Tribolium castaneum: one gene and its partner. The protein of the gene in region 2 interacts with the protein of the main gene of each other region in a biochemical or structural test. Links are inferred from orthologs where the notes say so. Each region holds a gene or a part of one and is shown on either strand. Other genes may lie near its edges.

What was found.
Region 1: the proteins of Nak (region 2) and numb form a complex in vitro, tested with the Drosophila melanogaster proteins (3 studies listed by BioGRID). The link is inferred for Tribolium castaneum from reciprocal best matches to the Drosophila melanogaster genes Nak and numb.

What each region holds. Positions count from the first base shown.
Region 1 is NC_087395.1:16,786,076-16,788,946, forward strand, and holds the end of numb (protein numb), read right to left. Parts: intron 2,326-2,871; coding exon 1,213-2,325; 3' UTR 501-1,212; downstream 1-500.
Region 2 is NC_087394.1:25,678,793-25,682,921, forward strand, and holds the start of Nak (serine/threonine-protein kinase sel-5), read left to right. Parts: upstream 1-1,329; 5' UTR 1,330-1,555; coding exon 1,556-1,682; intron 1,683-1,735; coding exon 1,736-1,854; intron 1,855-1,912; coding exon 1,913-2,158; intron 2,159-2,212; coding exon 2,213-2,416; intron 2,417-2,468; coding exon 2,469-2,601; intron 2,602-4,129. Other genes in the region: ecto-NOX disulfide-thiol exchanger 2, read right to left, coding at 642-980, 1,033-1,063.

The sequences.
Region 1 (2,871 bases), on a different chromosome or scaffold from region 2:
AAAACCAGTACAGCTAGCGCCATCTCATCGTCGCTCGCAACATCGACATAAAAATAAACCTTCAACGCCGCAAATATAACACTTTTACCGAAAAGCAAAAGAAAACAAAGCATTTTACTACGAGAAATATCTTTATTAAGAACTCTTTTAAATACAATTGTAATAATAAATGGGTAGAGAACTTTAAGCCGACAAGCACGACACCTTTGATCGTTTCCTACAATGATTTATTGCCTTAAGGAAGTCGTTCTAAAAGTGATTTACAGAGTTCCACCTTTGAATCGAATAAATCTGTAGTTTTCCGCCATAACTAACCAAATTTTTCCAATTAAATAATTGCCTGAAACCCCCATTAATAACATCAAACAAGAAAATAAATCTTTCTCGGAAAATTAACTCCAACTTATCTGCAAAGTTAATCCAATATTTACAACCTCTCATAATTTCAACATCGCTTTATTCTTCTTTAGTGTTCGTCGAGATAATAAAAAAGACACGCGTAACAGATAATACTTATTTATTACTATATTACAGAAAAAAACATAATTAAGACTTTTGTATAATACAAGTGTATATAATAAGTACATGTGCCATAATATTAGAGCTGCGTGCTCTCATATTGAAAAAGTAATAAATACAAACAGTAAATAGCATCGCTATAACATTTACAAAAACATAAAGTAAAAAGTCGTTATCACCTATAATTCTAATAATACAGTTTTATCATTATTAATTCGATCCTATTCCCGATGCTGCACGTTATTATAGTTATATTACACTAGAAAATTAAATAAAAATCAACAATAAGTCAATTCTTGCGCTTAGTAACAAAAGTCCAACTGGATTAATTGAACGGTCAAATTATAGGTGGACGGCAATCTAGCTCCAAACTCACCAATCGTTAATTAATAGTGATAATGGAATGTATTGTACCTACATTTCTCAGCCTTGTAATGATATAACTCGTCTAACTGCAACTATGGAAAGACTATCTTAAGTACAGACAATTTTGTGCATTTAGCTTGGCAGGTGAGTTATTACAATTCGAAATGTTTCTAACGTCCCTAATGAAATAAATAAAAACTGAGCATAAACTTCGTTCCCCGGGTCTTTACACATCCTCTCAACATTATTTACAAGATTGCACAGTCAGTCCTGGCAACATTAAACAACAAATACCTCAACAACTTATTGGAATGAATCACAAGTTAACTAGAGCTGGATCTGAAACGGCTGCGGGGCGGCTGAGGACAGGAAAGGGTTAGTCGGGTTGTTTTTAGCCGCGATGTCGGCCCACTCTGCGTCGAACGGGTCCGCCGTCCGCTGGAACGCCCCCGAGGAGTCCAGCGACATGGCCCGCGAGTGCGCCCCCAGGAGGGGGCCCCGCCGGGGCGACACCCCGTCCATCTTCGCCGGCACGGGCGACGTGGAGTTGACGATCTGCCCCAGCCACTGGTCCGGCTTCGGCAAGCTGCTGGCGTTCGAAGTAATACTGGTCGTGACCTGGCTCTGGCTCAAGTTGGGGCTGAAGCTGTTGTTGATCGTTGTGACGCTCAGATTGACCGTGTTCTGGTTGATCGAGGTCTGGTTGTTGAAGTTGAAGTCGTCGGAGCCGCTGTGCGTCAGCTGGCTCAGCCCCTGGCTCAGCTGCTGGCAGAGAGCGGTGACGGAGTCGCCGGGCGAGATCTCCGGGATGGGGGACACCTGGGGCTTGGGGTTCGTCGGCGACGTGGGCGACTTGTAGGCGTTCAGCCGCGCCGTGTTGCTCGGGAGCTCGTTGACGCGCAGCGACATCTGGCGCTTGAAGGGCGAGTTCTGGCCCAGGGTGCTGAAGCCGCGGCAGCTGCCCTGCCGCTGCAGCATGCTGGGCGTGGCGTGGGGGCGCTCGATGGCGAAGGGGTTGACGGGCGCGGGCCGCGGGGGGCCCACGTCCACGCCGCGCTCCAGCCGCTCGGTGAGCCCCTGCTGCCGGAAGGAGCCGCTGCGCGTGAACGTGGCGTTCTTGGTGTCGAACATCATGGTCACGCCGCACTCCTTGTCCCGCTTCTGCTTGCGCTCCAGGCACACGGCGAAGGCGCAGCCCACGGCGTGCGAGAGCCGCTCGCCAGACTCGCGCAGGGCCAGGAAGCCGTGGCACATCCAGCGCCGGGTGGTGCCGTCGCGGCAGATGTAGCTGAAGCCGCGCTCGTGGTTGCGGTCGGGGGCGCAGAAGGAGACTTTCTCGATCGTTTGGTCGACGATCAGACCTTTCGACTCGTCCTCGACCACGCGGAGACCGTCGCCGCTCACGTGGAGGACGGCGCGGACTGGGCGACGGCGGGAACCCTGAAACAAAACAAAAATCACTTGAGTTTGCTATTTATTTTATTAATTGTTAATTACTGATTACAATTTATTTTTTACCTCAGACTTTCCAGTAAAACATAAAAATCAAGAAAAAATTTTTCAAATTCTATTCAAAATATAGAATTACAAAAGATAGTCGGCAAATATAGAAATATCAATAACTAAAATTAACAAGATCAAATAAATCAGAGAAATTAAGACGACATTGTGAAACACAAGAAATAATGATCTCAAAAATGCTCTAGGCTTGAAACAAAGTGTTAAAAAAATGAGGAAATAATTTTCGATTATAAAACTACCTAAGGGTTCAAATATAACTTTTGATTAAAACAAAATTTTAGCAAAACTATTTACACCACTTTTCTATGTTCTGTTCCTCTACCGCTATGAATAAATGCCATAAAAATAAACTTTTTCAAATCAATACTAAGTATGATGAAACCTAAATCCATCATATCACTCCAGAATTTAAAAAAAAATCCACTCCAATCCAAAACAGTGACTACGTCCTATTTTTCCCAAGCC
Region 2 (4,129 bases):
CATCTATTTATAATTTCTGTTAGACGTTCTGTAGGAACTTTATTATGTTAACATTTATACCATATGGATCAAGTGAATTATTATTTTTAAATTCTTTTTTGGCATCTCTAAATGATTTAAAACATACATGCTGAAAGCTAGAGCTCCTATCTTCAACAGTTTAAGTAGAAATTAATTTCCAAATACTTAACTTCTGGGAAAATGGACCGAAATAGTCTCCTGAGCATCTTTAAATGTCCTTGGGACTTGAACTGTTGAAGATAGATATGGTCTCGCGGACATTTTTTAAAGAAAATTTAATTCTCTACAACTTTCTTAACAGTATTCGCAGCGTTTTGAAAAATGTGGGACAAAGCGCAATTTTACATTTGGAATAATTTGTTTCATATGTTTCTCATGAAGATTTTAGTCGGCAGTTTTTTGCAGCCTGTTAAGAGTGCAAAGCTTTGTATTTTTCCAAGTGATTAATGAATTGGTTGAATTTAAGTTAGTTTAAATCGATATTGGCGTCAAATAACGCTTGAAGCGCCCTCTTTTGTACTCTGGCGTACTATTTTTTTGGGCACAGAAAATCGTTCGTTTCCTAATCTATGGTCCTCTGTAGTTCAAAGTGTCTACAAATTGAATGAATAATTAATTACCCATCATGCCGCCCCACATGTTGGGCCCCAAACTGGACCCGTTTTGGATCGGGATAACATCCTGCGAGCTGGACATGTTCGAATCTGAATCATCGCGAGACTTATCGGTGTCCCTTCGATCCCTATCCCTTCGCTCAATGCGGCGTCTGTCCCTTTTGTCTGAAGGACTTAAACTTGAGTCGTCTTTGTCGTCCACTGAGCGTGCCACTGAAGTCTTATTCTTGTTCATGTTGAATTCCAAAGGAGAGTCGTTTAAACCGGGAGGAAAAATGGAAAAATCGCTGGCATCTGATGGAACGAACCCTGACTGACCTCCGGTGGGCACTATTGCCCCATTTCCTACAAAAAAGGACAAAAGGAATAACACAACGACAATTGCAACGGAATTTACCCAAAGGTTGGTTGTTGAATTGAAAACTCATGGTTACAGTGAGTTTCTAAGGAAAAATAGCAACAAAACAGTTCATTTTTTATCGACCTGCCAAACTTGCCGAGGATTGACGATTGAACTTCCCCGACTGTTCACAAGAACGAATTCGTTAAAAAAAATAGAAAACAATTAATTAGTAGAATTAGGGAGACACCAAAGAGCGTAGTTGGCAAAACTAATTCAGTTTTGGTCATTTTTGTGTTTGCTTATTGGAGTTTAGTATTTGATAAAATTTATTCGGTTGGGGGAACGTTCGGTTGGGGAGTCACATGTTAGTTGTCAATCTAACGTCAGACTTTCTTAAACGTCACTGACACTGTTATGCGGACAATTATTTTAATCAATTAATAAAAATAGTCGATTTGAAGCGGTAGCAAGTGTGAGGTGGGCTGTCGTAACGGTCTGGAGCCAGAAAATTGATGGGGAATCCGCATTCACTCACCAAACTCAATGTGTCATAATTTCCAATTAAGTGTCAATCACGATGAAAAAACTGTTTTCTAAAATCGAAACTAAAATAGATAACACTTCGAAGGAAGGTAACAGTTACATAGGAAAAGTGTTCACAGTCGGCCGCCAAACGGTAACCGTCGAGGATATTCTAGCCGAAGGTAGTAGCATGTTTCAATTCGGGGGGGCGTATAATCCCCATTGCTTGCTTTAGGTGGTTTTGCGATCGTGTATCTGGTAAAGGGCACCAATGGCACGCGCTACGCACTCAAACGAATGTACGTTAATAACGAGCAGGACCTTAACGTTGCCAAACGTGAAATTCAAATCGCTGTAAGTCACTTTAATTCATTCAAATTTTATTACTATTGAGGCACGTAACGGTTTTTAGAGCAGTTTAAGTGGCCATAAAAACATCATTGGTTATGTAGATTCCAGTTTGACGGCCACAGGAGGGGGCGTTTATGAAGTATTGTTGTTGATGCCTTATTGTCAGGAAAACGTTTTCGGTCTTATGAAACAACGTGGCAAAGCGAATTTTACGGAACATGAAGTTCTGACCATTTTCTGTGATACTTGCGAGGCCGTGTCACGATTGCATCACTGCAAAACTCCAATAATTCATCGTGATTTAAAGGTTTTTTGCACTTGATGGCAACACTCTAAATAACTCAGCTTTGGTTACTTGCAGGTAGAAAATATTTTGGTAGGTGAAAATGGTAACTACGTGATATGTGATTTTGGTTCGGCCACTGCGAAAGTATTAAACCCGGCTGATAAGGGGGTTGCTCCCGTTGAAGAAGAGATTAAACGGTACACAACACTGAGTTATAGGGCACCTGAGATGGTCGACATGTATTGTGGCAAACCAATCACGACGAAAGCTGATATTTGGGTAAAAAACACAACATTACAAAGTAATTTGTCTTTAATTTAATCAATTGCAGGCTCTTGGCTGTTTATTGTATAGATTATGCTTTTTTACGTTACCGTTTGGTGAAAGTACTTTAGCTATACAAAGTGGGAACTTTAGCATTCCAGATAATTCGAAATATTCGAAAGGTTTACATCAGCTAATGCGTAAGTTTATCAGTAGTAAATCTCCTCGAAGGACAGGGAACTTAATTAAGGGAACTTACTTAAATTTTGTCAGTCATTCCATTTTATCAGACGAGACACTACACATATTTTTAGATTTTATTTACTGTTTTTATGAACAGTATCAGTAGAAGTCAATTTAAACTGTTTGCAATCTACAATTAGAGCCACATTTGTAAAATTAGAAATAGGAGCAGAAATTAAAACAAATTGACGGACAGGACACAAAAAAGACTTTTTTATTGTTAAACAATCGTAAAATTTTGATAATTTAAAAGCACTAATTCTAACAATTATTTTTGAAGTAAGACTTTTTAAATTTTTAAAACCACGAAGTCGAAGAACAGAGCAATGTGTAACGACTTCTGATTAATTTACTTTTTGTTTACACATAACGGATGGGACAAAAAATCCACTATAATAAATCTTTTGGGTCATAAACATTCCTTCGTCTGCTCGGAAGCATGATGTTTTTTTTTTATAACATCAATTTTTTATTTTTTAATCGTGTAAATTATTAAATGTAAATAATTTACTCAAAATGTATTAATATTGTGTTACATAAATTAAATGAGTAATTATTTAATGTGTTAGCTTAAAAAGCTAAGCTAAGTAAAGTAAGGTTTTACTGTTCTAATTAAATAAAAATAATATATTTTTTTTAATATTTTGAACTCAACAACTAGTTATTTGTTTGTGTGTGTTACCCATTAAAACGGTCGATTTACTGGAGACGAACTAAACTTTCATTGAAACTGCACCAATTTGAATTTAGTTGTCATTTATTATGAATGGACTAATGTTAAATTAATCAGAAATTGAAATTTGATTGTAATTAAATATGTAAACGAATCATATGGGTTTTATTAGTTTTAGTTTGTCAATGTAAAATAAATTAAAGTAAATGAAGTGTGCAATCTCCCGACAGAACTTGTTTGAACGGAAACTAGGAAAAAAGAGTATTCTTAATTAAAAATTTAAATGAAAAGTTTTATCCAAACTCTTTGTGATAAAGAATGACAAAGAAAACTCCAATGATGGCGTTCACAATTAATTACGTTAGTGCTAATGCGTTTACAAAAAAAGACACCTTAGGAAGTTATAACAGTTTTAACGACGTTTATTCTTTTTATTCATTTATTTTGTTATAGTCACTTAATGATCAATTCACTTTTACAAATCATTACCTTCTTACTTTAAAATTAGCGCAGAATATTTTTTATAATGTAAGTATTAAATAATTAAAATTTTATTTTACCTTAAAAAAATGAAACATCAAATTATTCTTTACTCTCTTTACGCGATATAGTCATTTTTGATTAATTGAGGAGGTTTACAATTGCAATCAAATTTTTATTTCACTAATTTGACTTTTGTCAATGCAAAGTAAAAGATAACTTACTTTGATTTAATTTAACGACGTTTACGACCTAAAAGATTTATTGCTGTGGTTTGCACTCAGCCTCGTACTACCCGGGCCGGTTTATAGGGGTCACATTCTTTATGATCG